Linked DNA regions of Pelodiscus sinensis. The main gene of each other region encodes a partner of the protein of the gene in region 4 in a complex. Links are inferred from orthologs where the notes say so. Each region holds a gene or a part of one and is shown on either strand. Other genes may lie near its edges. The genes, in order: SMARCE1, SMARCA4, SMARCC1 and ARID1B.

Region 1 (7,381 bases), on a different chromosome or scaffold from region 4:
AGCATAACTCCACTGGCGATCTACACATGCCAGAGAGGTAGATATGATGGGATGAATCTTCTTCCGCTGTGGAGGATGTATCCAAATGGCTCAGACTATTCTAGCCTTAAGAGTGATAAAGTGGCTAAAGTACAATTATGCAGCTTGGCAGGTAGGATGCTTGCATGTTCCTTTCACCTTTTGGACACTTAAAAGAAATCCTCAGTGCACAATGTTGGCTATGAACTGCTGTAATATTTAGTACTAACTGATTGGTAGTTCACTTATAATTACTGTACCTGATAATATTCCTCTTATAATTTTCGTGGTGTAGTAGCCCTTTCCCATGTAACAGCAATGTTATTCATGAAAGTAAGTGCCACCGAACAGACGTCTTACATTTAAAAAAAATACAAACTTACTTGACATTTTGGCAGATAAATTTTCAGCCAGCTGACATTATATCTCAAATTCTGAAAAACAAAAAAGAGAACACAGTGTCAGACTGTTAAATACAACACTTTCTGTTTTCATGAACTGTTAAAACAAAGAACATAATTAGAGCTTCTGTTTTTCAGAATTTATTAATTTCATTTTATGGGGTTTATTTTTTAGCAATTTTGCTATATGTATATGTCCAATGAGGTTTTTGAGGGGCTCATTGTATAGCCTGTAATATAAATAATCTGTATAAAGTTCGCTAATGTGCTTTAATGTAGCACAGTACTGTTTAAAACAACACCATGTTAAAGCACACAAGGGAACTTGTAGCACACACCAGCTAACATTTGTATGCTTTAGAAATCATAGCCCTATAATCTGTACTACTACTTCATGTAGACACAAGATAAGCATTTCCAATGTTTTTCCACAGTTTATTGGATTTGAGAGAGCAAAATTGGTCCCAATCCTGTAAATGCTCATCATCTGACATAAATAATGTCTATGGCATCAAATATTAACACTACTATAGGCACAGGTTTCAATGCTGAACCCGTGATTATTTCCACACATAATAAAGTACTTAGGCACGTACATTTCCATGCCCAAGGTCTATGGATGGTCTGGAATGTAGGCGACACTGGATAACTCTTACGAAAGAAGTTATGCTCTCAGTTGAGATTCCAACAAGGTTAAATGAAAAGAATGCTTCAGTAGGTCAATTTTAAATGGAGGCCTGGCTTGAGAACAACAGAAAGATCTCATTATTCATCCAATTTTGGGGTGAATGGGAAGGAATATACAAAATATACAAACATAATATGTAACATACTAATTTTACAACTTTTTTTTTAAGATGAGGCACATACTAAGCACGTAGGTGATAAAAACACAGCCATGTCACTTCTGAACACAGGGTTTTACACCTTGAGAGTTTTACTCCAATCAGTAAGGGTACCTTTGAAAACATTATACCTGGAAGGTTGAGTTAAGGTATGCAACTCCAGGTACGTAAAATACGTTGCTGGAGTTGGCTTACCCTAAGTGGACCTTGGTACAGTGTTCACAGAGGGAGTCCAGTCTACTTCCTTTACTTGTCACGACTGCTAGGAGTACTGGCACCAACCAGAGCCGCCCTGAGTTTCATTTTGAAGGTCTTAACTAGACCCACTAAATTGAATACCAAAAGATTGATCTCCGGCATGACAAATGCAGACATGGTACCAGTCACTACAGCAGGTGTACTTGCTTAAGGGAGGATAGTACCTGCCTTCTTCGCTACCATTTTTGGGAACGGGGCAAGAAATAATTGCTTCCTTCGTTATTGCTGACAGCCTATTCTCCCTTCAAGGTGGAAGGAGGGGGAAAGGGAACCATTCCCTTCTCCTTGTGAGGTGCATGAAGAGGGGGACTAGCTACCTCTCTTCTCCTGCAAGGTGCATGGGGGGTGGTTAGCTCAGTGATTTTCAAAATTGGGTCATAACCCAGAGGCAGGCTCCTCTCCCCCCATGCTTTGTTTATTTATGTGTAAGCAGCTCCCACTGGCTGCAGTTTGCCATTTTCAGCCAAGAGGAGCTGTGAGGCTCTGTAGTTATGGACACTTAGGGTACGTCCAGACTACAGGCTTTTGTCAACAGATACTGTCGACAAAGCTTCTGTCGACAAAGAGTGTCTAGACTACATCCAGTTCTGTCGACAAAGCCAGCCGCTTTGTCAACATGACAGTGTAGACACACAGGACAATGTAGATGCAATAATGCCTTCTGTTGACAGAACTCTGTCGACAAAAGGTGTTATTCCTCGTAGAATGAAGTTTACAGCTGTTGAGAAAACTGCTGAGTCCTGTCGGCGCTATGTTGACAGAACTCAGCGGCAGTGTAGACGCAGGTATAATTTTGTGGACAAAAGTCTACTTTCGTCGACAGAACCCTATAGTCTAGACACACCCTTAGATAAACAAAGCATTGTGGGCCCCACAGCAGTTTACCTAGGCCAGTCCCTGATCCAGCTGTGAAAACCATTGGGCTAGCTATGGCCCTCCTCCCCTGCAAGGTGCAAGGAGGGGGCTGGCTACTCCCCCTGCTCTGGGCATGACTGTCTCTCTCCTCTCCCTGCAAGGATGCATGGAGGGGACGAGCTACTGCCCTCCCCACTTCAAAGCACCAGAAGGGGGCTGGCTATCCCCCTCCCTTGGGCACCGCTGTCTCTCTGCTCTCCCTGCACGGAGTGAGCTGGCTACCCCCTGCCCATGGGGTGTCCGTGGGCACCACTCTCTCCCCCCTCCCCCCCGCGAAGCGCATGTAGGGGAGGCGGGGGGGGGGCATCGTGTGTCTCTCCCTCTCCCTGCGAGGTGCGTGGGGGGCGGGGGCTGGCTACTCCTCCGCCCATGGGCGTGGACGCGGGGGGGGCATCGCTCTCCCACTGCCCTCCCCCCACTCTCCCACGGTCTCTTTTTCGCGGGGCCGGTGCCGGGCCCACTCACGCAGCGCCCATCGCCTCAGACACTCACCCGCTCCAGCACCGGCCTGGGCCCCCTTTGTTCTCAGCCAACAGCGCGCTCCTGAGTGGGCAGCAGCGACTCGGGGGAAGCCGCCCGCCCTTCCGCCTCAGCACATTCCACACGGAGTCCCCAGCTCCCCCGCTTTTTCACTCCCTCCCCTGGCTTATTCCTGGCCAGGCTCCCTCCCGCAACACCCAGGGAATTTTTATCGTCTCCCGTCAGGGCAGGGAAAGGAGGGTTGCTCTGTGGCGAATCTGCGGAGCCGAACGAGAAAGCCAAGAGGCACAACAGCTTGGCTAGACCGCTTGACGTGACGAGCGGCGCCACGTCAGGTGACCCGCATGGCGCGCTAGGAGGCGCGCAAGGGACTCGCGACCCCGTGACGCGCCGCAGCTCCCGGGGTGGGGGTGGGGTTTGGAGCGTTGTGTTCTCGCGGCCTTTAGGTTCGTTCTCGCGCCTCGGAGGACACGCGCCACTGTTTTGGCGCCTTTTCCCCCTCTCGCGACCGTTAGTCTCGCGCCCCCCAGCCTGTCAAGCCGTCGCTTGAGGAGAGGCGGTGGCCGGCCGCCGACTCGCGCTGCGCCTCCTGTCAGCTCTCCGCCTTGGCTTCTAAGGAACCAGCTGATGCAGGTCGCACCTCTCTGCTATGCAGGCCTCGGTTGCAGCCTCCTGGTTATAACACACGGGTGCCTAGGCTACAGCTGCCCCTTTAAAAACCAGGTGTCCCGGCCCCAGGGACGGCCATGCGTAGGGTTGCCAGGGGTCTGGTATTGAAACGGACTGTCTGTATTTTCATCTCCTGTGTGGTAAAAAAAATTCAGAAAATACCCGTCACTTAAAATGGCCCCTATTTTCCTAGCTAGGAGGTGAAAATCCCAGACTGTCTGGCTCAATATGGAGGCAGCCCGGCAGCCCCAGTGCTCAGTCTGGCCCAGTGCAGGGAGGCAAGATGGTGGACGCCCACCTGCAGCCTGTTAGTGCCAAAAAGCCTCAGCATGCATTTTTTTTAAAGGGACCACTTCCCCCCCCCCCCCCCCCCCCAACAAACTTTTTCCTGGCCTGGGATATTTTGGGGGAGGGGGGATATTTGGTATTTTTTCCAAAACCATCTGGCAACTGTAATTGCAACATAATGTGCCTTGGCATAGTTACTGATATAGGAGGAAGCGTCTCTACCCACATAGTTATCTGAGGTGTCCCTGCACCACATGTATGTTTATTGCAATAATATGAAGTATCAGAGGGGTAGCCGTGTTAGGTGCCACAGGACTCCTCGTCGCTTTTGCAATAATATGAGAAGCTGCATCAGATGGTTATTTTATAACCCTATGCATGCCCCACTAAAGGCTGCACTCAGCTATTTAAATAGAGATATTGAGGAAGAGTTATCCATACCCATATCCATACCCTGCATAGGACACTTGAAAATTTGAGGAACCACTGGGTCTTAATGTGACTGTCCATACATCTGCTTCTTCCTTTCCTTGGTTTGTGGCTTCCTCTGGAGAGGATCTGGTGAAAAAAGCCTGCCAGAGCTATTAGCAGAACCCTGAACCTGCGAAAGAGCCATTCAACTGGTAATGAAGTCATTTAACAGACATTTGTAAACTCCAGGTATATGTTGTCCATTCAGAAACTTACAGGACTAGTTTAAAATTGTTTTAAAAATATGTTGTTAGCATTTTGCTGAAGGTTATAAAAGCACAATTCTAAAAAATTGTCTTCCCCATCCACCCAGCTGCCCCATCAGGCTTAGGGACATCAATTTAATCATACAGCGTAGAGTCCCATAAATCCTATGGATTGCCCTCCGCCCAGGGTGAGGCATTGCTGGACATGGTTCTCTTAAATACTTGTCTTTAGAAATAAGGGCCAGTGTTTTCTCTGGGACATTCAGAGTTTGTCTAATCAGATGTTGGTCACTGAAGATCTGTCACTTTTTCAAATAAATAGAAGGTCAAGGTCCACATTGGCTCACAATTTATCCCTTGCTCAAGTACAAGGGATAAATCCATAACTTGCATTTGGCTACAAAAAACAAAGGGAACCAAAATACATATTTTTATGAACTTCTTTTTAAACCACCATTATACATCATCAGAAAATTTATGTGAAAAAGGTGAGAATATTGTTTTTATATTGGCAAAATACCATTTCACTCAAGTTTTTACCTGCTGTTAGTTAAGGAGTTTCTGGAGAAGAGTGCAGGTAGTAGAGGTGAAAGTAGGGTCCATTAATTCTTGCTTTCCTTCTTGGTCTCACACCATTACACCACTCTTTTCTCTCCAATCTAGTATAACGTGATTTTGATAATATGAAAATGCTAAAATGCTCTTAGATACAGTCATATGAGTCTATGTTTTTGAAATATTTCTCATTGGTTTTTGTATATGCTGGTCACAACTGTGCAATCTTTATATGATTGAGCACTTAACAATGAGAATAGCTCCACTGGAGTGAACAGTCACTGGGTTGTGGGTGAATCGATACCACTTTCTTCCCACATGCCCTTTATTGTAATTTAGGTCTTGTATTTTTCTTTCTGGAAATAGATTTACTCTGCAGTTGCTAGAAGAGGGAATGTACCTTCTGCATTATTTTACCAGAAAATAGCTACATTCAAAGTGATGAAAGGACACCTTCTTCCCCAAGATCCTGCATTTGTAGGTATATGCAGAGTTCTTGTTGTGAATTTATCCCAGGATATTAGTGAGACAATATGGGTGAGGTAATATCTTTTTATGCACCAGCTTCAATGAGAGAGAAAAGCGGTCGAGCTACACACTCTTCCCCAAACAAGTTTTTCCAATGAAAGACATTACTGCACCTACCTTGTCTCCTCAGACATGTTAATTGAAAAATATCATGACATGTTTTCAGCAGTGAAACAGTAGCATATTTATCCATTGATGGCTTAAATGTAAACACTTTGATACTTAAAGTACAACATAACATTCAACCCTTAATTCAGTAAAACTCCCACAGACTTTAAGATTTTTTTTCCTTAGTCTGAATGGGTGATATGACTGCTCTGTAAGAGTCCGTAGGTCCAATCCTGGAAAGTGTTTACAATATGGAGTCTCGTTTGAAGTAATTTGGCAGGAATTCAGTTCTTCTACCAGCTATTGACTACTTCTCTTTTCAAATGTGCAAATTTTAGTTATATTTTTTTTATACGGTTCTCAAATAATTTGTGAAAGCTAAGGTGGAAGGTTTCACACAAGAGGAAGTTTCAGGGATTCATGATCTATGTTGTACTTATTGACAAGGCAGTAACTGTCAAGCAGTCTCAAAAGTTTTCCCTCCTAATCCTGCTTATAGCATTGTATGTTAGTGGTGGATATTTTGAAGTCCTATTGGCACACACAAAGTATCATGTTAATTACAGTATGAAAGTTTTCTGTACTTCATGTATTATAGATCTGCCAAGAAAAATAATTATTTTGTATGCATAGAAAATTAAAAGGAAAGATAAAATCTAAAACAGGATTTATGCATCTAACTCAGATATTTAATGTACGGGTGTGGTGTGTGTTCTTATATTTCATTTTTCATGCTGACATGCCAAACCTATTGTATGTGTTCCACTGATTAGCAAAGTTGTGTTGATTTCTGCTCTTTCATTATATGTATGAAGAGGTGCATGACAGTACTCTATTTATTCATAAGGAAATATATAAAATACAGGCAACAACAATACAAACTTCACCGTATTGTGCCAACAAAGTGCCTGTATCATGATCTGGAGAGACAGATCATGAGAAGATAATTAAATTTCTTTTCCATATTTGTTTAAGGTCAGACTCTGCCACCCTTAGGGCATGTCTACACTAGGAAATCATTTTGAAATAACTAAATTAGAAATAACACCCAAAATAAAATCAAAAGAGCATGTCCCCACTATGGGGGGAGCCTCGACATTAGTCTGAGGCAGGCTCCATTATTGTGGACATGCTTCCTTGACTTAGAGCCCCAGAAAGGACTGGGGAATAATTACTTTGAATTAGTCTGGGAAGTAGTTATTTTGAAATAGTAGCAGTGTACTGTTAGTGTGGATGCTCTTTCAAAATAACTATTTTGAAATATGTGTTATTCCCCAGGGAAAGCAGGAATATAGATTTTGTAATGACCAGCCTGTTATTTTGAACTTGGTAGTGTGGATCCTTTGTTTATTTCAAAATAAGGGGGGTTATTTTAAAATAACTCTCTAATGTAGACCAGGGCTTTGTGTGGTGGTTGACTAGCATCTTGCTATATAAGTAGTCCTTTGATTTTATAAATAAAGGTGGCAATATGTAGCCCTTAATCTTTGGTTTAACTGCTGAGATTTCTGCATCTTCTACTAGGAAATGGTAGGATGCAGAATGACCTATGGGACAATAAAACTTAAGTTCTCAAAGGTCATTCTACTTTTGTCAGATGGCAGTAGCTCAATCCCAAATCATGTAGTCCCTCAGTATT
Region 2 (7,259 bases), on a different chromosome or scaffold from region 4:
GAGCAGAATGCTCATTACTGGGGTGGGGAATAAAAGTCTTGGGAAGGTTTAAAACCTTTGAAAACCTTTTTAGCCCTGAACAATAAAATACAGACACATTCTCTTTCCTTGATGTTCATCCTTGAATTAAACAAAGGACAAGATCTTCAGAGGAGTCTGACACCCAAATCCCCACAGCTATGTGAAAATACCAGCTGCAAAGAATAAGGAAATATGCCACAGAAGTCTCACTTGGGGATGACCTGCTTCTTTCACTGACTCTGCTGTGATAAGCATGCTCCACTATGCTGAAAACCCAACCTGTGCAGAAAGGTAATCAAATATGCTACAAGACACTTAAAAGCCACTCATTTTAGATGATCTTAATGCAACTCATGAATTTTAAAAAACAGCTGCACAAATCCTTTAATTATATCTCCACTTCTGCTTCTCTTTAGATTCTGATATTTGAAAAAGGAAAATATAAATTATTTTAAACACAGAAAATTAACCGATTTTCTCCATTAACTTGCCTATCTCCTTTCATATTTTAATGGAAAGAAGATTAGCAAAGCAGTCACCGTGATCTGAACATGCTACATACCATTTATCTGTCATTACACAGAGGGACGAAAGCAAAAATGAATGCAAAACGCATGAAGATACAGTTTACCAATCAAAAAAAGTGAAAAACCTGAAGTAACCCTCCCTGCACATTTCAAATCTGTCACGCTCCTCTATCTCTGAAGGAGACATACAGCAAATTGGGTTACACTTTAAAATAAAGATGATGCCAAGATATTAGGGGCAATAAAACAATTATGAAGAACAGAAATTGAGATACTTAGGGTAATGTATCACTCAAAGATGGGAACAAGGGAAAATTTGTAAAAAATATTTAATATTATTTAGAACTAGGTATTATTAAATCTATAGTTAAAAGTCTCAGACTTCAACTATGCTTACATTTGGGTCAAGTTAACATACAGCAAAACCTCCATCATTTCAAAATATGTAGCATTTTGTAAATGTTTAATATTAAAAGATACTTTTTATATGAATGATCATCAGAAACACCACAAAAACAAGTGTGCAAGACAATGTTTAAGGAAAGTTGTTAAAAACCTATTACAGTTATACAAAATACAACAAAGAGCCTCTGCCTTAAAACAATAGACTACATTGTTAACTGATTTGTGACCATCAAAGGCAGCACAAATTTGCCCCAAAACAGGAGATGAAAGAGAACAGTTAAAACCCTCCATTAGAATATTGGGGCATCAGTAAATATTCCCTTTATTTCCAAATGATTTCTAATGAGAAGCTGTGTTACATAGAGACCCATTCATATTTAAATGTGCTTTGTGTGTCAGGAAACCATGGGGGATGCTCTGAGCAAGGGGGTGCTTATTAATAGGCTTTGAGAGCAAATCCTCTTTAAAACATCATCACCCACAAATTCATATCAATGAGCTGAGTGGAATTGAGGCAATTTTTTGCACCTCCTTTCCCCAATACATCTGACAGCGGGACTTTGCATGTGGAGCTGTCTGTGGTTATGTGCCTATTTGATGCAGCAGCTAATCCTGCTCCTTTCAACCTCCCCCCACCCCCAGCACATGAGAACCTTGGTATCTCTCCAGGAAGTCAGAGCCTGAGCAATGAAGTACTCCTAGGAGAGAGAATTTATAGACCATCCTGCAAGCACAAGTGATTGGCTTCTTCTTGTGGCTCTGTCCTGAGCAGGTGGAAAATCTGAACCTTTCCCATAATAAATATATGAATGTGTAGGGAATCCAGCCAGGATGTTGTAAGCCTGGGGGATCTAAGGCCAACCCCCTCAAATCACCAATTCTCCAAAGAAAGAGAAGGTGGAAGGAGGAGGGACCATAGCTCTTGAGAATAGAGTAGAGCAACTCCATGGGCTAGAGAAAAGAGATAGGAAAACACAATTCCTTGGGACTGGGCAGATGATGGTAGTGTGGGCAGGATCCACAAAATGAGGTACGGAAATGGGAGAGGGGGATATTGATGTGGGAACTAGTTTAAACAGGATAGAAGATACTTATGTTGAACAATAAGGAGGAAGCACCCCAGCCTAAAGAGGGAGATGCTGAGGAGTAAGGTAAGGACAGCTTTCTTGGGTGGAGTGGGATGATAGCAAGGTGGAAGCAAAGAGATTCTGGGAGAAAGGGGGCAGGAAAGAGGCTGATTAGCAAGGGGGGGGCACAACCCCTTGGTGGGGAAGTATTCTGGGAAGAAAAGAGAGGGCTGTTAATGAATTGGGGTGACTGGAAGGGTTGATGCTAAAGGATAAGGGCAGCATGTTTGAGGAGGGGCAGATGCTGATGGAGGGCCAGAGCCCCAGAACGGATGGAAACGCAAACAGGGTGCAGTACATCAGGGATGGCGTGCTCATGAAAGGAGAGGTGCTCATGGGGGCAAGTACACCAGAAATGAGATGATCACGGGGGGGGGGGGCACTGCCATCCCCTATCACCCCCCGATCCCAGGGGCATCATCTGAGCATCACCCCTCCCACATTGCCCCCCCATCCCTGGGAGGTGGGGGAAGAGGGATGCTCAGGGAGAACACTGCCCCAGGGATGGGGGCATGATGGGGCCAGTTCTCCAGAGACTGGGGGGGTGAGATACCCAGGAGGGCCAGTGATCCAGGGGTGGGGGCGGGTGAGGGGGAGCTGTGCCCCGGGGAGGGGGGCCGCGATGGGGCCAGGGCCCCGGGGATGGGGGAGGGGCGAGGGGGGAGCTGTGCCCCGGGGATGGGGGAGGGGCGCTGCTCGGGGGGGCACAGCCCACGGGGGGGGCAGGGAGGACGCTGGAAGGGTCCCCGCGCGGGGGGGCGGCCGAGCTCTCGCGCAGGGAACGTCGCGGAGGCCTCTTGACCCTGCCGGGCCGCCGTAGCCCCTCAGCCCCCCCCGCCCTTCCATTCAATGGGGCGCCGGCCCCCCCTCCCCGCGCTCACCGTGCCCGCCCCTCGCGGGGCCGCTCGCGGGCTCCATCCCCGCCGGGTCGCGTCGCGGCGGGACAAAGGAGCCGCCGCTACTGTGCGAGCGTGAGGGAGACGCGGCTCGAGCTCCCCCTAGCGCGCGCCCCCGCGGGAGGCAGCAGCAGCAGCAGCGCGCGCGCTCCCGATCCGGCTCCAGCGCGCGCGCGGGGCGGCAGCCTGGGCCAATGGGAAGGCCCCGGTGGGGCTCGCGCGCCACCGCCCGCCCCCTCCCGACCCTGCCTCGCCTTGGCGTTCGCGTCTGCGTGCCACAGCCAATCAGGGGCGTTCGCGCTCCGCCCCTCCCTCGGGCAAGGTGGGCGGCGCGCCAAGCGCCCTCCTCCACTGGGAGCACAGCTGACACGCGCCTCGACCAATGGTGTGAGAACGAGCCAAGCTAACCCCGCCCACCTTGGCGGCGCTGCAACCAATGGGCAAGTACCTCTGGCTGGTCCCTCCCCTGCCTGCGGCCGAGAGTCGTCGCGATCAGCCAATGGGAGCTAAGGAAAGCGGCTCGCGCTCACGCCTTCCAGCCTGCCGCAGCCAATGAAGCAGGGAGAAGGAAGCGTTCGAGCGGTCGTGGGCGGGGATAAGGGGGAGGGGGCGAGCTGCGTCCGCGCGTCCTTGTGGCGCGCGCTGGCGATGCGAGCCGCCTCCTCCTCCCAACCGGCTGGAAACCGCCGCCGCGGCCACGCATGCGCATTGCGGGCGCCACTGCGGCGAAGGGGAGGGAACTTCGAAGGCGGAGGGGATGGGCAGGGGAAAATGAGGGGAGGGGAGGGGCTCAGGAAGGGGGCTCAGGAGGGGGAGGGGGTTGAGGGGAGGGGCTCAGGAGGGGGGTTCAGGAGGGGGAGGGGCTCAGGAGGGGGACGGGGTTGAGGGGAGGGGCTCAGTAAGGGGGCTCAGGAGGGGGAGGGGGTTGAGGGGAGGGGCTCAGGAGGGGGGTTCAGGAGGGGGAGGGGCTCAGGAGGGGGGTTCAGGAGGGGGAGGGGCTCAGGAGGGGGAGGGGCTCAGGAGGGGGACGGGGTTGAGGGGAGGGGCTCAGTAAGGGGGCTCAGGAGGGGGAGGGGGTTGAGGGAGGGGCTCAGGAAGGGGGCTCAGGAGGGGGAGGGGGTTGAGGGGAGGGGCTCAGGAAGGGGGCTCAGGAGGGGGAGGGGGTTGAGGGGAGGGGCTCAGGAAGGGGGCTCAGGAGGGGGAGGGGGTTGAGGGGAGGGGCTCAGGAAGGGGGCTCAGGAGGGGGAGGGGGTTGAGGGGAGGGGCTCAGGAAGGGGGCTCAGGAGGGGGAGGGGGTTGAGGGGAGGGGGTTGAGGGGAGGGGCTCAGGAGGGGGAGGGGGTTGAGGGGAGGGGCTCAGGAGGGGGGTTCAGGAGGGGGAGGGGGTTGAGGGGAGGGGCTCAGGAAGGGGGCTCAGGAGGGGGAGGGGGTTGAGGGGAGGGGCTCAGGAAGGGGGTTCTGGAGGGGGAGGGGGTTGAGGGGAGGGGCTCAGGAGGGGGAGGGGGTTGAGGGGAGGGGCTCAGTAAGGGGGTTCAGGAGGGGGAGGGGGTTGAGGGGAGGGGCTCAGGAAGAAGGGGGGCTCAGGGAGCCCTTAAGGGGAGAGAGCTCAGAAGGGGAAGGGCTGAGGAGGGGGGCCATAGGAGGGGAAAGGGGGTTCAGGGGGAAAGGAGAATAAGGGGCTGATGGGCAGGGAAAGCTGAGGGCACAGGAAAGGGAGGGTCTGGGGGAGGAGGAAGGGGGCTCAGGAGGTGGGGGAGGAGAATGGGGGGCTGATGGGCAGGGAAAGCTAAGGGGGCTCATGAGGAAGAGGGGACAGTGGCCAAGGAATGATGGAGGAAGCCGGTGGGATGGGGGCTGAATGCTGATAGGAAGGGCATGATGAGACAGGAGCTGGCGGTTCTCCTGGGGCAGGCACTGGCAATGTAGGCTAGTGAGTGGGCCACACAAGTGGGCTGCAAGATTGTTTAACCAAGATGGTCTCCCAGCACTTTTGCTAACTGCGTACCTAGAATTTAGGAGGTGTGCCGAATGAACCGCAGCAGCGCTTGGATTGGATGATTGGATGTTCATAGCGCTCACTGTCAATGTTATGTGCAATCAGCATGCACCTTATCTCGCCCTTGCTTTAAATGTGCGACTTTGGTCATCCCAATAGAGAAAAAAACTATGCCGGCAGAATCTGGCAACCTTGCACATGAGCAACACCAAACACAATGTCCTAGGGGCCACACATAGAGCCCTGATGGGCTGCATATGACCCACAGGCTGCCCATCACTGTCAGGTCTCTCATGCAGTCTGGAGGAAAAAGGGGTTTTCTTCTATGTCTACACTGCAGGCTTTTTGTGCAAGAAGTTTTTGTCGGAAGACAGTGTAGGCTTCTTGCGCAAGACAGTGTCCACACTGCAAAAGTGCATCAAAAAAGCAATGCACTTTTGCGAAAGAGAGCGTCCAGACTGCCTGGATGCTCTCTTGCAAGTAAGCAGTGATTGCTATGGACAGGATTGCCACCAGGGCACCTGTGCTTTTTCCTCCTCCCTTTTCTTGTGCAAAAAAGCCCTCTTTCCCGTCCACGTACACCTTTTTGCGCTACAGCTCTTGTGCAATAAGGCATTCTTCCTCATAGAATGAGGATTACCAGTTGTGCAAAAACCCCTCTGATCTTTCGATTTACTTGCACAAAAAAGCACTTGAAGTGTGCACGCTCTGTGAGTTTTTGCGGAAAAACAGCTGTTTTTCTGCAAAATCTCTGTAGTGTAGACATAGCGGCTACGTCTAGACTGGCCCCTTCTCCGGAAGAGGCATGCAAAGCAGGGAAGTCAGAATACTTGCAAGTAGGAATAAGAGATCCTCCTGAAAAGGGCTTTATTCCGGAGGATCGCGCCAGTCTAGACGCTCTTTTCCGGCTTTTCCCCAAGCTGGAAAAAAAGCGGCGGCCATGTTTATTTAAATCCCGCGAGGGATATTTAAATCCCCTGCGGATTTCCCTATTCTGACTTGCCTGCTTTGCATGCCTCTTCCGGAGAAGGGGCCAGTCTAGATGTAGCCAGCCTGTGTCAATAAGCCATCATGTTCAGTGAAGCAAGTTTAGTGGTGTTGATGGAAGGGGCCCGGCGGGAGACCATCTAGCAGGAATGGGATGAATGAAGCAATGAGAACTTTAGGACGAAACTCTTGGAGCGTTCCCTGGGAAGGAAATGTGGTGGGCTGTGGAATGATCCCTTGAGGAATTATGGAAGCTCTATTGTTTGGGATTGGACCAAATCTTTGAAAAGAGACCTTTTAAGGAGAGATCTTGGATAAGAATGGGCATACTGGGTCAGATCAATGGCCCTTCGAATCCAGTATCCTGTCTTCAAACAGCGCCAGTACCAGATGCTTCAGAAGGAATGAACAAAACTGGGCAGTTATCAAGTGAAATGAACAGTAGAACAGATGGATTAGATAATCTAACAGATCTTTGCCAGCATTAACATCTGGGATTCTCTTGATCTGTCCCATTCTTTTTCAGTATGAAAAATGCCATAGTGATGCCTTGTCTCTTCCCTTTCCAGTCATCCACTCGTTATTTGCAGCATCCTGTGAGAGGGGCTATCTCAGCACACTAAGTAATGTGACAGTCAAAAAACGGTGTGTCCTCGCCTAAAAAATCCGGTGGCCTTCTGCAGACCCTCTCTTCCAAGGCTCTCAAAGCACTTTATAAATATACACTAAGCAGCCCCACATTTTGCAAGGTACATAGGAATGCTTCCAACTACATCTGGGGCAGAATGTAGCCTCTGTTTAGCAACATGCCAAAATTCCACATAATAGTTTAGGGCAGGACATAAGAAACCCTATATATATATATATATATAGTTGAAACCTCAGGGGAATTTAGATCTGCATAATGGGCCAGAAGACGTAAACATGGCCAGTGTTGGTGGCCGGCTTCTAAACTGTAGGAGTCATCTAAATGTAGTCTTTGCCGCAACGTGGCACTTATTTAGAGGAGAAATCCAACTATTGCCCTATCCTGACACTGTTAGTATGCGAGAGCTAAGAGTCAGAGGAAATAGTGGTACCTCCAAAGGGGTTAGATCCTTCATGTCAACAAATTTCTCAGTGGAAATGTGATCAGTGGAGTAAGTTGCATGTGCCGGTGACAAAATAGAGACAGTTTCCCTCTCCCACAAAATCTAGGCCTATCTTCTCTGTTACAGTTAACATATGGTGTTGGGGGCTAGTTGTGGCCCCTGATTCTCTGCCCAGCCCCAAGGGGCTCCTGTAACCTATACTAGCTGACA
Region 3 (8,106 bases), on a different chromosome or scaffold from region 4:
GGGAGGGAAAGAGGCAGGGCCATCTCAGCCCAAGTGTCTGAAGGCAGGCTAGCAGTGGTTGCATCAGGCCCTGCATAATATACCCACCTCTCATGCATGTCACTTACTATTCCCATCATTGTGCTTAGGCAACCACAGTAGAGGAAATAACATATGCTAGTGACTACAGTTTCTTCCCCCTATGCTACTATTCAAAGACCAGAGTATAGTATAGAATCATAGAATACTAGGACTGAAAGGGAGCTCGAGCGGTCATCGAGTCCAGTCCCCTGCCCTCATGGCAGGACCCAGTATTGTCTACCATCCCTGACAGACATTTATCTAACCTACTCTTAAATATCTCCAGAGAAGGAGATTCCACAACCTCCCTAGGCAATTTATTCCAGTGTTTAACCACCCTGACAGTTAAGAACTTTTTCCTAATGTCCAACCTAACAGTAGAACCCAAGAATTATAAACAGCTTAGGAACGGAGGTTGTTCGTAACTCTGAAATGTTCGTAACTGAACAAAACCTGATGGTTTTTCTTTCAAAAGTTTACAACTGAGCATTGACTTAATACAGCTTTGAAACTTCAATATGCAGAAGAAAAATGCTTTTATCTTAATTTAAATGAAACACGCAGTTTCCTTACATTGCCAAATCTTTCCTTTTAAACTTTCCCTCTTTATTTTTTAATAGTTCACATTTCACACGGTACTGTACTGTATTTGGATTTTTTTGGTCTGTACTGCTGCCTGTTTGTATACTTCCAATTCCAAATGATGCATGAGATTAACTAGTCAGCTCGTAACTCTTGTGTCCATAACTCTAAAGTTTATTGTAGTTTAGGTAAGGACTAAAAGACAAGCTATTACATAAGAACATACATAAGAACATAAGAACGGCCGTACTGGGTCAGACCGAAGGTCCATCTAGCTCAGTAGCCTGTCTGCCGACAGTGGCCCAGAGGGAGTGGACCGAAGACACTAATCAAGTGATTTGTCTCCTGCCATCCTTCTCCAGCCTCTGACAAACAGAGGCCAGGGACACCATTTCTATCCCCTGGGTAATAGCCTTTTATGAACCTAACCTCCATGAAATTATCTAGCTTCTCTTAAAACTCTGTTATAGTCCTAGCCTTCACAGCCTCCTCTGGCAAGGAGTTCCACAGGTTGACTACACACTGTGTGAAGAACTTTCTTTTATTAGTTTTAAACTTGCTAACTATTAATTTCATTTGGTGTCCTCTAGTTCTTCTATTATGGGAACTAATAAATAACTTTTCTTTATTTACCCTCTCCACACCACTCATGATTTTATATACCTCCATCATATCCCCCTTAGTCTCCTCTTTTCTAAACTGAAAAGTCCCAGTCGCTTTAACCTCTCTTCATATGGGAAGCTATTGGAATCAAAAGCTTCAGTGGTACAGGCAGTCCCCGACTTACGCGGATCCGACTTATGTCGGATCCGCAGTTACGAACGGGGCTGCCCCAGAGTACACAGACTGCGGGACCTCGCGGTCCTGCCGCCCGTGTACTCTGGGGCTTTGCTCTGCGTCTCCCTGGTCTGCAGACCAGGAAGACGCAGAGCAAAGCCGCGGAGGGGCTCGGGCAGCGGGGCAGCCCCGCTGCCCGAGGCCCCCCCCCCCCACCCGCGCGGCTTTGCAAAGCGCGGGGAAGCCGGCGGAGGGGCAGTCCAGGCACGCCTGGGGTGCCTCGCTGCCGGAGCCCCCCCCCCCCCCCCCCGCGGCTTTGCAAAGCCGCGGGGAAGCCGGCGGCGGGGCAGTCCAGGCGCGCCTGGGTTGCCTCGCTGCCCGAGCCCCCCCGCGGCTTTGCAAAGCCGCGGGGGGGGGGGCTCGGGCAGCGAGGCACCCCAGGCGCGCCTGGACTGCCCCGCCGCCAGCTTCCCCGCGCTTTGCAAAGCCGCGGGGGGGGGGGGGGCGCCTCGGGCAGCGGGGCATCCCAGGCGCGCCTGGGCTGCTCCGCTGCCGGCGTCCTCAGAGGCGCTCCCCGTCTCCCTGGTCTGCTGGTCTCCAGCAGACCAGGGAGACGGGGAGCAAAGCCGCGGAGGACCCAGGCGGCGGGACGCGCAGCATCTCGGTCCGCCGCCCGAGTCTTCCTGGTCTGCTGGGGTGGGGGGGGCGCAGCTAGTACGCCCCCCCCCCCCCCCCCAGCAGACTAGGCTTTTCTCCGGACGCCTGTGGCAGAGCAGCTGGGGTGCTGCCGGTTGGTCCCGCAGCGCCGCTCTGGGTGCTACTGGTGCAACCCAGCAGCACCCCAGCTGCTCTGGTCCTGATTCAGCCGCTGCTGGTCAGTTTCAGCAGCGGCTGAATCAGGACACCTGGGGCAGAGCAGATGGGGTGCTGCTGGGTTGCTCCAGTAGTGCCGAGGAGCGGCGCTACTGGAGCAACCCAGCAGCACCCCAGCTGCTCTGCCCCAGGCGTCCCCAAGTCAGCTTCTGCTGAAACTGACCAGCGCTGACTACAGGAAGCCTGAGGCAGAGTTGCTCTGCCCCAGGCTTCCTGGAATCAGCTGCTGATCAGTTTCAGCAGCAGCTAACTTGGGGACGCTTGGGGTTCTTAAATTGATTCTGTATGTAAGTCAGAACTGGCGGTCAGTTTCAGCAGCGGCTGAATCTGGACACCAGTTCCGACTTACATACAGATTCAACTTAAGAACAAACCTACAGTCCCTATCTTGTACGTAACCCGGGGACTGCCTGTATTTGAAAAAGACAACTGGGGGCCAACTTGCCTTCTGCCTCTCAGGGAAATGAAGTACAGAAGTCAAGGGGAGTGCTCTTTTATTGACTTAGTTTGTTTTCACCAAATCTGCTGAACTGACATCAAATCTGGCATCAATCACAGCAGTGCCAATTTAGCAGCAACTATAGACAAGCTAAATGTAGAATGAATGATGAGAATGAACGAGTGAAAAGTTAAGACCCTAGTATTCGGCATAATGGATGGTCTGAATAGGAGAAGCAGACCCCACAGACAATGAGTAGATGATATAGTAGATTGCGGTGGAGCTAGTCTACAGAAACTAAGCCACTTTGCACTGGACAGGGAAAGATGGAAGGAAATAGTGAAGGAGGCATCGCACATCAACAGGCACTGAGCCCATGGTTGATGATGATGATAGACAAGCCACAAGTTACTACAAAGAGTTCTTTCCCAGATAGCTGCCTGGTGGATCTTGCCCACATTCTCAGAGGCAAACTGATCACTGTATTTGGGGTCAGGAAGGAATATTTCCCTGGGTCAGATTGGAGCAAGTTTGGTGGTTTTTGCCTTCCTCTACACTGTAGTCTACAGCATACAGCATGGGTCACTTGCAGGTTTAAACTAGCATAACTGATGGATTCTCTGTAACTTGAAATCTTTAAACTATACTTTAAGGACGTCAGTAGCTCAGCCAGCAAGCACACCAGTGGGTGGTTAAGAATCCATGGCCTGCAGGAGGATCAGAGTAGAATGATCACAATAATCCCATCTGACCTCAGAGCAACAATTCCCAAATGTTTTTTGGTCATGCTCCCTTCCTTGGTCCATTATTCCCTTTGAGCTGTGGCCAGGAGGGTGGTGGGTGCTGCAGTTGGAGCCACAGCTAAGGACTGGCTGGGAACAGAGTGGGAGTGGAGCAGAGGGCCAGGCTGGGTGGTGCTCCCTGAGCACTGTCCCACCTGCAAAGTTCCTCTGGGCCCCCTTAAAGGGTCATGCCATGGAGTTTGGGGACCACTGCCTTACACTCAATGAAACTGGACACCAGCAGTGGAGGAGAGTCAGTCCAGAGAGGAACCATGGGGGGGGGGGAGGGGAGGGAGAGCAGGACTCTGACCTGAGCAGAGATGATTCAGCCTGGTTGGGTGTGACCTAGTGGGGGCGCTGTCTACTTTTGTCATCCTCTGTTTCTGCTGGGCTGCATTGGTTAGGTGTGATTCCCAGGGCTCACTCCAGATGTGTATTGGGCCCAGACACCTGGGGAGCCAGACTCGGAAGATAACAACTCTTAAGGACATCGGTGGGGGCTGACACCAGGCTGGGAACTAGGCCTGGGAGTTGGGTCAGCCTCAGCTGGGCTAGGATGAGTGTGGGGGCTTACAGCAGGGAAGGGGGGTGCAGGGCCCAGGACCCCCCCCTCCCCCCGAGGAAAAAGGCTGTTTGCCCTCCATGCCGGTGGTAACATCGAGCCTGTGCTACGTTCCTGACAATCAATAAACCCTTGTACTGTACCAGCTGGCTGGGAGTCACATCTGGCCGTGGGTGGGGGTGCAGGGTCAGGACCCCCCCCCGTGGTGGGGGAGAGCAGGGCCCCGCCCTGAGCAGAGAGGGTTGGGCAGGGAGGCTGGGATTAGGGGAGCGGTCAGGACAGGGAGCGTGAGGGACAGACGAGTCTGGGCCAGGCCTAGAACCCAGCAGCCCCCCCCCCCCCCCCCCCCCCCCCCCCGCTTCCTGGCCAGGATAACAACCTTGCGGCGCTCTCAGCACAGGAGCGAGCGGCCTGCGGTCGGAGCCGACGCCGTGGCTGGCGCGCGCGGGCGGCCTCTGAGGAGAGCGGAACGCAGCGCCAGGCGGGCGTCGCGCGCCCTCGCGAGGCGGGAAAAGCGACGCGGGAGCCACTGCGGGCACGAGCGCAGGCGCAGCGACGGCTGGAAGAGACGCTGGGCGGCGAAGCGACAACGAGGCTGGCAGCCCCCCCCCCGGCCATGGAAATTCAAGCCACACTCTCCCCACCAGCGTCCACGCGCCGCATGCGCAAAGCGCGGCACGAGCGGCTTGGCCCACTAAGCGCATGCGTACAGACTTAGTGCGGTGCGGCCCGTGCCGGGCGGTTGAGATTTGACGCATGCGTGCACAGCAGGGTTGGGGGGAGGGGCGTGCGGTCTGCCTGGACCTCACGAGCGAAGAGAAAAGTGGGAGTCTGGCGCATGCGCAGAGCTAGCGGGCTCGTGTGGCGCGTGCGTTGAGCGCGGCCCAGGGTGCCGACGCAGGAGCGGTGGCGCCCGGGGAGAACCGGCGCGTGCACAGCGGTGGCGGGGGCAGGGAGCGGGGTTCCCGAGCATGCTCCAAGGGGCGGAGCGTGCGGGGCTCGGCGCATGCGCGGCGGGAGGCGAGTGGGAGGCGCAGGGCCGCGGTGGCGGCGCTCGGCGAGGGTAACAATGGCAGCGGCAGTGACGGCAGGCGGCGGGCCCGGCCCCGGCGCGGCGGCGGGGCTGGCGGCGCTGTCCGTGGCGCGGCGGAAGGACGGCGGCCCCACGGGCAAGTTCTGGGAGAGCCCGGAGACGGTGTCCCAGCTGGACGCGGTGCGGGTCTGGCTGGGGAAGCACTACAAGAAGGTGCGGCCCGGCCGCGGGGACTGGGGCGCTGGGGGGCGGGGCGGCCCGTGGGGCGCTGAGGGGGGCGGGGAAGCGCCAGAGGAATGGGGGGGTAGAGGAAGGGGCGGCCCGGCCCGCGGGGACTGGGGCGCTGGGGGGCGGGGCAGGGGGCGCTGAGGGGGGCGGGGAAGCGCCAGAGGAATGGGGTTAGGGGGTGAGGAAGGGGCGGCCCGGCCCGCGGGGACTGGGGCGCTGAGGGGGCGGGGAAGCGCCAGAGGAATGGGGGGGGGTGGAGGAAGGGGCGGCCCGGCCCGCGGGGACTGGGGCGCTGGGGGGCGGGGCGCTGAGGGCGGCCCGTGGGGCGCTGAGGGGGGCGGGGAAGCGCCAGAAGAATGGGGGGGGGTGGAGGAAGGGGCGGCCCGGCCCGCGGGGACTGGGGCGCTGAGGGGCGCGGGGCGGGGCGGCCCGTGGGGAAGCGCCAGAGGAATGGGGGGGGGGGTGAGGAAGGGGCGGCCCGGCCCGCGGGGACTGGGGCGCTGAGGGGCGGGGCGGCCCGTGGGGAAGCGCCAGAGGAATGGGGTTAGGGGGTGAGGAAGGGGCGGCCCGGCCCGCGAGGCGCTGAGGGGGGCAACCCGAGGGAAGCGCTCCAGGAAGGGGCGGCGGGGCGCCCCAGCTAGGCCGGGAGCGGTCACAAAGGGCCAGGCGCTCCTTTGCGGGGGGGGGGGGGGGGCGGCTTACCGGCCAACGGGCGGGTCCCGGGTAACGGGGCCGTTTCCCAGGCTGCGCGGCTCCGACCCTTCCCCCCCCCCCCCCCCCCCCCCCCGGACTGGAAGTCTCCAAAATCAGTTCGAGCCGGTTGCGCGACTTCAGGGCGAGCCCCCCCGCCCCCCCCCCGCATCTGGGTCTTCGCCGCGGTGTGTGCGCGCAGCTGTGGGCACGTGCGCCGCGGGCTGGCCTGTCACCGGGCACTCGCGGGGCCCCAGCCCAACGAGGGGCGGTTGTGCCGAGCGTCGTCACACACTGGCGAGAAACGGGGGGGGGGGGGTTAAGTTGCCCCCTTTAAAAAAAAAAAAAACCTGCATTGCTGATGCGTTTGAGTTTAGGTGCTTGTGCGGCCTAAGTGACTGTAGTATCCGAATATCTTCATACACTCCTATGGGAGGAGGAGGTGAGGTGCTGTTAACCCATTTTACAGATGAGGATTGACTCAGAATCACTTGCCCAAGGCCTTGCAGAGAGTCTGTGATAGAGTAGGGAACTGAACCCAGGTTTCCTGGCTAATACTCTAACAGTCTGGATCATCCTTCTTTTCTATAATCTTATGGGGTTCAGGGCTCTGTTTCCTAAATCTAAAAGAACAAGAACTGAAAAGTTTGCTCAGTGATCACTTTTGTGAGGAATGTGGCTTCATTTGCATTCAGACTTCTGCTGGTTTGACTAATGGTGTTTAAGTCAGTGTATTTAAACCAGAGCAACCCCCCTGTGTAGCTTTATTTTATTTTGAGTGACTAATATTGATTTGGGTGAAGCAGATTCCTTATGGAATCTTTGAAACCAAAATAAAATTGTCTACACAGGATTTTGCTCTGGTTTAACAAAATTGTTTTTAAACTGATTTGTAATGCCAGTATAGCTTTTTGATTATATATCTTTGTGGCTAGTATTTTTGTAAAGTCAAACTCCTGCAATTTAAATAAAAACATTTGCAAATGCCTGCTAAAATGTAATTTAAACATGCTAATCAGATTCTTTTTAAATAAAGTTTTAAACGCTTAATTATGTCTCTTGGTTTTGTTATGCTTTTCCCTTTTCCTTTCTTACTCCAGGTCTTTGTCTATAATAGCATGTAAAGTTTTAACTTGTCCTTGCATTATCTTTTCCAGTGTCTCTTTTTTCACCCCATGTTTTTCCATTCATTTCATTCTCTATCTTATTTTCTTTTTACTTCTCTCTATATTAAAAGTTGCAGAGGGGTACCATGTAGTTAGTAACTTGAAACAACTTTTAAGAACAAGTAGACCTGTAGCACCTTTTGTTCATCTCTAAGGTGCCACAGGTCTACTTGGGCTTTTTTTTTTTAAGTTCTCTCCATATTGTATTTCTCTAGTTCTATCCCATCAGCTTCTCTCTCTTTCTGTGCCACATTTCATGCGGGCCATTGAAGTTTTACCAAATTCTTAGCACCAGAGGCCTTCTAGCCAAAGTCCCAGATGAGTGTTGAGGAATATTATCTAGGATGTAGCCCAAATAAGCAATCACATATTTCTCCATCCTTCACCCAAGCTGCTGGGAAAGGGAATTAAGTGTGAGGTTCCTCCAGGATTTCTGGGTCCTGGAAGAAAGGAGCATTCTCTCACTCAGTTCTCCAAGATTTCCAGATCAGAGTCCCTAGCTATTGTGAGAGAAGATTATTTATCCACCCACTTATAATAGCCTTAGTTTGAGTCCTCCATCCTCAGTTATCCAATTTGTGCCTGCCCCCTTGCTGTTCAGAACTTTACACAAGCAACTATCAAAGTTGATATTAACTCAGTTCTTTTTAATTTCACTGTTGTACATAAGATTCTAGATTGCAGCTATGGAAACTAGCAAGAATGTTTTTCACTCTGCTATAGTTTAAGACTCACATCAGGAGAGGCATTGGATCCATCATTGTGCAGGCTTAAGACAGTAATGCATTGATTATATGTGAAGGTAATTTTAACCATAATGGCCAGATACTTAATGATTTTCTTACATGAAAATTTAGATTCTGCAAAGTTGTTGGGAATCTTTTCCAGGCAAGTTCTTATTGTCCTTGGTTAGT
Region 4 (7,412 bases):
TTTTCTGCGGTCAAAAAAACTGCCGCGCTCTTTCGATTTACTTTTGAAAGAACACCGCAGCAGTCTAAATGCAGGGAAAGTTGGTTTTTTTTAAAGTCCACTTTTTTGAAAAAACCGTGTAGTCAAGACACACCCTTACATAGCAACAAGGGGAGAAAGGAAATGTTAAGTAAAGGAAAAATGGAAAACAATAAATGACAAGAGGATTTTGAGGGCTGTAGTACCTGCAACTACATTTTTCACTTAAAACAAAAAACAACACTGATAAAGATAATGTGACCATGAATTACCATTCTTTTGAAGACAGGATGTATGGCTTTTTCTTACACTCCCAAGAAATACAATGTTGTTTCCAAACAATGGCACAGGAAACAAAATTCTTAGGGTGTTCTATCAAAGTTCATAGATTTCAGAATGAGAGAACTCGGCAGCCCTCCATTAGTGCGAAGTGTAAAGCTGTTTTGTTTTTTTTTTAAATTGCTCATGCTGTTTCACTGAAGTACAGAGCTTCAAAAACTATTCATTAAAAAAGCCTCAGTTCAGCAAACCACTTTAACCAAGCTCTTAACTTGAAATAAGTGAATAATCTTAGTGATTTCAATGGGATTATTCACGTGTAGAATTAAGCACATGTTTAAATATTTTACTGTTTTGGACCTAAATCTTGCAGGAAAACAATTGTTCATATAATTCCCTAATGAAATAATGAATGATTTTATTGAAAAGAAGATAGTAATGTTCTGGAGGCCTTTTGGTTACGCACAGCCAGAATAAATTGATTAAACTCCCCATTATAAGTGGTATCTGAAAAACGGATTTTAATCAAATGGCAAAATGTGTCACTCTCACACATTAGGCTTTTGGTAAACACTGTGTACTTCAAAATATATTAAGATCAGATAGGATGAAATATTGTACTTTACCTAAGCAGATTATTGCATATTGTCCGTTACTCGATTGTAATAGTTCATACATCCTATTAATTAATAATATATAAAATCAATATAGGTAATAAAAATTAGTGATGTCTCATTGCATTTGTTCTGTGACTTACAATGCAGACTTCACCTTGAGATTCACATAAAGCTAAACCAAAGCACAGTACTCTGTACTTATGTGTGTACGTGTATTTTAACTCTTTTTGTTTTTTGTTTTGTTTAGGATCTGATCGCTGTCCTAGTGAAACCAATACATTTATTTCAATATAATTTGGATAGGGCCTTTAACCAGTGAAAGAAGTGTTAATTTAATAATTCTGAAAATTTAAATCTTGGTTTTTTATGGTCCCCCCCCCCTTTAAATCACTGCAAATCTATAATAACTAGAATAGGGAAAATATGGTGAATTTGTGATCTGCGTTACCTAGATGTGTAGGGGAATTAACTAGAAGACCAAACTGTTAAATCCAAACAGAGACTTCAAGCAAAATAATGTTGCAGAGTACAGTGGTTAACTGGGTAGGACACAACAAAGTGGCAAGGTGGTAAAACTCTGGTTGGGCCATTAATTTTTAACCCTTACTATAAAAATATAGAACCCCAAAACAAAATGGTTATTTTCTCTACCTTCTCTAACAATAAGACCATAGCATTGTCAAAATATTGGCTTATACTCTATATAACATTCAGAAGCCACTGTTCTGACCAAACAAAAAGATAGCTGCTTTAGTGCTGTGAAATGTGTAGGGCTTTCATATTGGACCAGCTATACAGAGATGTCTTGGGAATCTATATAGATGTCATAGTGCAATAAACAGTAAATTTAGAAAAATATATTGTTAATCCTGGAAATGGATCCCAAATAAAGGAGTTTTAAATTTATCAGAAAAATCAACATCCAGCATACTACAAAGCATATGAAAGAGAAATTGTGTTTAATTAATATACATTTATAAAAAATGCAGTTGAAATATAACATTCAAATCATGTATTTGTAGCATTAAGCATTAGATTTCATAATTTTGTAACAGACACCACGCATGACAATTACAGCTTTTCACATTATATGCCTATATATATTTTTAATTTGTACAACAGAGAAAGCTTTTGGAAAGGATCATATGAATTGAACATACACTACCACTCATCAACTGAGCAAAGATGGTACAAGATATTTCAACATTATTTGTGATCTAAAAAACAAAACTGAACCATAGTTGCTTTGTGTTGTGCTTCACTTGCACAGACTGCAGTGCCTTCTGTCTGCTTTCGGGTGTGGCATCTGCCATTGGGGAGGAAAAACTGGCATGTGTTGCCTTTTATAGCAGACTGATTTCATTGTGTTGAGGGCCTCTATTTTACAGTCTTAATTCCAATCTTGTAGCTGAGTTGTTAAAACAAATGTAATGAAAAAGACCGAGAAGAATAAACTTTTCATTTTTTGAGGTTCATTATTTTCCCCAGGAAAAATATTTAAAAAGTAAATCAGCATTAAACTTCGTGGCTTTTTTTTTTTTATTCAGAACTAGTGAAATGAGTCAAAGTATTGAAATCCTCAAAAGAGCTACCTTCAATACATCTTATCAGATTTGTAAATATATATATATATATATATATATACTTATATTTTTGCTTTAATATAAGTGCCCAAAAGCATAAATGTGTAATTGATTTTATATTTTATTGTAGAATATACATATAAATAAATATGCACAAGAAGACATCTATATTTATATTTGCATATGAAAGCCTTAAAAATCAACCTATGTGGTTTAATGTGTATAATTAGTATGTGTTTGAATATAAAAAAGAAGAAAATCCAGGAGAAAATGTCAAAAAAGCTCACTAACAAAGATGTAGTATTCTCTTGGCAAAAGCTGATGAATGATTTGGCATGAATTCATCTTACAGTTCTGTTACTCTCTCTTCTACAAAGATGATATACCCCTTTTCTAGCAGTTTGCATAGAACTGCAATTTGTTGTTGTTACAGACTGTAATGACCCTTGGGAACGCACCTGATTCCCCCCACTAGAATTATTCACTGATTTTTTTTCTACTCTATCAGTTTCTATTAACTATTTAGCATTTTTGTACTTACAGAGAGTGCAAAAACATAAACAAAAAAAAAAGAGAAAGAATTAAAATAGAACTAATATCAACATGTAGTTGAATGTTGAGACTTTTACAAAGTAGAACCATGCTGGAAAATTCAATGGACATTGAACTCACATTGTTCATACATTTATCAACATGCTGTCATGAAGAGTCTGTTCTTTAATGTTTTCACAGTGGAAATAAAAAAATCCCACTTCCTACTCATTACATCATCATTTATGACAAGTTATGTTTTATGTTCTGTCAGTATTAAAAAGTCTATTTAGTGAGCTGAAAATGCTATTTAACAGATTTTAATAAAATATTTATTTCATATAACATTTTAGATTCTTATTAAATTGTCTAAATACCATCAATATCCTGTCTTACTTGTGTCCATGGAAGAATATTTAATTTTCCAACTACTTTTATTAGCTGAATGTGGTGTTTGACTGTTACGTTTTCCTGATCAAGTTCTTACTTATATTAAGACAATTATTTTAAAAAATTAACTAGCAATAGCTGGAGAAATCTGCTATATAAATCTAAGTCATTAGGAGTAATGGTTGCTTTGATTATATATTGTATTTTATATTACTACATTTTCATGAGTGTCTTAGATATACTAGAAAATAATGTTGTTTCGGGACACAATTATAGGACTTTCCTTGGGAGCCTTGTAATCTGCATATAAATACGAGAACATGTTCCAAAAAGCTCCATACGTAATGCTTATATTAAAAACATCATTAGCACAAATGATCATTAGAACTTTGAAACAGCTGGACACTACAGATAATTTAAAAAATGCCATTACTACTGAATTTTGTGTTAATTTGAACATTTTACAAGTATTTTTATTTTTCCATAAAACAATTTGTAGGCAATACATTTTAGTGTCTTGAAATCAGAAAACCTTAGACTGCCTACTGGCTTGAAAAACAGAGAAAAGATTTTGAAAGTTTGACCAATTTTTTTTTTAATCCAATAAAATATATTGCCAACAATGTGTTGGATTTTCTCTTTGTCTACTAAGCTGTTATGATGAGCACCTTCAGCTCTCACCCCAAAAATACATGGGCAGAAAGCCAAATTAATCCATGATGTAACAACTTTTACTTCAGTTGAATTACACCAGGCCTGAATTTGACCCACCCAGTGATGCTTAGTTGTCCTTTTTGGGTAAGATCATTTGTAGCAATCAGTTTAATATTCCATTCTCTGTGGAAGACTATAACCTAGATTTGCAAGGGAGTTGAGTGATAGATTTTTTCCATCTCTAACTACTACGATGCTTGACGGGCACAAAATACAAAAAGGGAGCGTACATCCTTTTGCATTAGCAGAAGCAGCTGTCTTGGTTCGGGGCTGTTGAAGGTTGTAATGCGCGTCTCTCTCTGACTGCCACCGCTAAACCTGCTGCAGGAGGAGGAGGGGAAAGTCCAGTCCGCGTTTTCCAAGTGTACAGGAGTAATCAGAGAGAAGTGGATAATAGTTGTTAGAGCTCGCTCTCTCTCTCATGCCATGCTGGGCCAGATAGGCTCAGTCAGACGTGTATTTACCCATATCCGGGTTAGAGAGGAAAAGAAAAAAAAGTTTCATTTAAACCTGAACAAAAAACTTTCAACATGAAATCACACAGCAGGAACAGGCACAGACCGTAAGACATTCTTACTGTTTCTAATCTCAATCACGGACTTTGGGGAGGGGAATTTTTATATATATTTTTTGTGTGTGGAGTGATCAGGAGGGGTTACTGTTTATTCAAATAAGTTGGTCCCCCCCCCTTTCTCTTTTTGCCCTTCTCCCCTCCTTTGCCCACCCTCCCACCCCGTTTCGCTTTTATTTTATTTTTGAGGGTGGGTGTTGGATTTTTGCTTTCGGACTGGCAATGTTGCAATGATCATGGCCGCGCAAGTAGCAGCGGCTCCGGCGGGTGCGAAGAACAACAAGGGCAAAACCCCGAGTTTGCCGGGCAACTTGAGCCAGGATCTCAACTCGGGGGGAGCAGCCGCCGCGGCCACCGGGGGACCCGGAGCGGGCTCCATGCTGGGGGTCGGAGATGGGACTAACAGCAGCAGCAGCCTGAATAATGTAGATCACCATCTCCTCCACCACCATAATGAACTGAACATGGCCAATAATGCAACTTCTGCTGCTGCTGCCACCGGTAATAACAACAACAACAACGCCAGCACCAGCGGCAGCAGCAGTAGCTCCTCTTCGGAGTCGGCTCTGAAAGAAGGTGGAAGCTCCTCGGGGTTACCTTCATCTTCTTCTTCCTCCGCCTCTAACCCGGGCTCGGCCATGGAGACGGGGCTGCTCCCCAACCACAAACTGAAAAACGTTGGAGGCGATCACCCTGCCGCACCTCCCCACCACCACCATGCCCACCACCCGCATCACCATGCCCACCACCACCATGCCCACCACCCGCACCACCACCACCACCACCACCACCATGCACTACAGCAGCAGCTAAATCAATTCCAGCAGCCGCCGCCGCCTCAGCACCATCCGATGCAGAATAACAACAGCCTCGGCGGCGGCAGCAACAACAACAACGGCGGTGGCGGCGCTGCTCAGCCCAGTGCAGACATGGAGCAGCAGCAACATGGAGGAAAAGACGGTGTTTTGGGAAATCAGGCCGAGCCCCCTCCGCCGCCGCCGCCGCAGCAAATGCTGAATAAAGGGGGCGAGGAGGAAGAGCTGCCCGGCAAAATGGGCGAGCAGATCGGCGGCCGCTACGAGCACCCCAGCCTGGGACCTTTGGGCGGGCAGCAGCAGCCGCCTCAGAGCGCTGGGAGCGGCGGCGGCGGCACTAGCAGCCTCGGCGGCGGGAGCGGGAGCGGGGGAGGCGGCGGCCCCTCCGCCGTGGGTGTCTCGGAGTTTAATAGCTATTACGGCAACCCTGCCCCTGCCAGCAGCGCTACAGCGAGCCGAGCCGGGCCTTGCTTTGATCAACATGGCGGACAACAAAGCCCCGGGATGGGGCTGATGCACCCCACGGCGGCCCCCAACAGCATGGACCCCCTGCAAAACTCCCACGAGGGTTACCCCAACAGCCAGTACAACCACTACCCCGGCTACGGCCGGCCCGGCGCCGCCGCCGCAGCGGGAGGAGCGGCGGCAGCAGCAGCAGGAGGAGGCGGCTATGGGGGCTCGTCCTCTGGCTACGGGGTGCTGAGCTCCCCCCGGCAGCAGGGCAGCAGCATGATGATGGGCCCGGGCGGAGGGGCCAGCCTGGGCAAGGCTGCTGCGAGTTCTGGGGCTGGAGGCTTCCAGAGATTTGCCGGGCAGAACCAGCACCCGTCCGGAGCCACCCCTACCTTGAACCAGCTGCTCACTTCCCCCAGCCCCATGATGAGGAGCTATGGCAGCAGCTACCCTGATTACAGCAACCCCAGTGCCCCACCACAGCAGCAGCCGCAAGCCCAGGCAGCAGGGGCAGTCCCGGGAAGCCAGCAGGCAGCAGCGGGCATGGGCATGGGCAAAGACATGGGCTCCCAGTATGGAGCTGCAAGCCCAGCCTGGGCAGCAGCACAACAAAGAGCTCACCCAGCTATGAGCCCTGGAAGCACTGGTCAGACCATCAGCAGAACCCAGGTAAACCACCAGACACCCCCTCACCCCAAAACACTCCCCACTTGTATGTTTTGAATGTGTGTCTAGTGCTTTAGTTTCTCTCCAATTTACTTTTCCTCCTCTCGGCCATATAAACTACTTGCTGCCTCCATAACAGGGTTTGGTAAGACACAGTGTCCGATTGATTGGAGGCATCCGACAAATGGTTTCACTGTGCAGAATTGCACTATTCGCTTACAAAATTGAACTGTATAAAGTTTTCCTCCAGTTTGAAACAGATTTGAAGATAGAAGGCCCCGAGGAAAAGCAGTTTGGGTGAGGAGGGAGGAGTTGCTTTTGTAACTACACTGTCAGATTCTGGAAAATAACATTGACTGCCCTCTATTAGAATTTTTTTTTTTTTTTAGACCAAGCAGATAACTTTGATACCCTTTTAACAAATTAGTTGTATTGCTGATGAAGACAGTATGGTGAAATCCAGCAAAAATACAGCCAGGTTGCCTTGGCTCTTGGAAGGGTGAGTGCCATAGTCAAGAAGGTTTATTTGGTAGGCGTTGAGGTGGTGTATTCTTCTTTTATATTTGCCTCAAGCATCCAACCGGGATGAGATGAAAATAAGTGTTATTTGTAAAGTGAATATAATACATAAGTATTATTATTCCCTTTTTGAAATAATCCATACTTTGATGAAGAGACTGGAAGAATCCTTTATTTAAATAAACAGAACCAGATATTGAGAGCTCTGCTTGTTTTGACTAATATACACATCCCCGATAAATTAAATCCAATAAAT

The links.
Region 1: ARID1B (region 4) and SMARCE1 share a complex: the UniProt entries of both Homo sapiens proteins name them as parts of the neuron-specific chromatin remodeling complex. The link is inferred for Pelodiscus sinensis from reciprocal best matches to the Homo sapiens genes ARID1B and SMARCE1.
Region 2: ARID1B (region 4) and SMARCA4 share a complex: the UniProt entries of both Homo sapiens proteins name them as parts of the neuron-specific chromatin remodeling complex. The link is inferred for Pelodiscus sinensis from reciprocal best matches to the Homo sapiens genes ARID1B and SMARCA4.
Region 3: ARID1B (region 4) and SMARCC1 share a complex: the UniProt entries of both Homo sapiens proteins name them as parts of the neuron-specific chromatin remodeling complex. The link is inferred for Pelodiscus sinensis from reciprocal best matches to the Homo sapiens genes ARID1B and SMARCC1.

The regions. Positions count from the first base shown.
Region 1 is NC_134739.1:10,452,682-10,460,062, reverse strand, and holds the start of SMARCE1 (SWI/SNF-related matrix-associated actin-dependent regulator of chromatin subfamily E member 1), read right to left. Parts: upstream 3,136-7,381; 5' UTR 2,930-3,135; intron 1,157-2,929; 5' UTR 1,016-1,156; intron 453-1,015; 5' UTR 409-452; coding exon 402-408; intron 1-401. UniProt on the Homo sapiens protein: Involved in transcriptional activation and repression of select genes by chromatin remodeling (alteration of DNA-nucleosome topology).
Region 2 is NW_027465894.1:294,495-301,753, reverse strand, and holds the start of SMARCA4 (SWI/SNF-related matrix-associated actin-dependent regulator of chromatin subfamily A member 4), read right to left. Parts: upstream 3,133-7,259; 5' UTR 2,962-3,132; intron 1-2,961. UniProt on the Homo sapiens protein: ATPase involved in transcriptional activation and repression of select genes by chromatin remodeling (alteration of DNA-nucleosome topology).
Region 3 is NC_134712.1:256,776,514-256,784,619, reverse strand, and holds the start of SMARCC1 (SWI/SNF complex subunit SMARCC1), read left to right. Parts: upstream 1-5,065; 5' UTR 5,066-5,081; coding exon 5,082-5,321; intron 5,322-8,106. UniProt on the Homo sapiens protein: Involved in transcriptional activation and repression of select genes by chromatin remodeling (alteration of DNA-nucleosome topology).
Region 4 is NC_134713.1:111,317,213-111,324,624, forward strand, and holds the start of ARID1B (AT-rich interactive domain-containing protein 1B), read left to right. Parts: upstream 1-4,378; 5' UTR 4,379-4,933; coding exon 4,934-6,640; intron 6,641-7,412. UniProt on the Homo sapiens protein: Involved in transcriptional activation and repression of select genes by chromatin remodeling (alteration of DNA-nucleosome topology).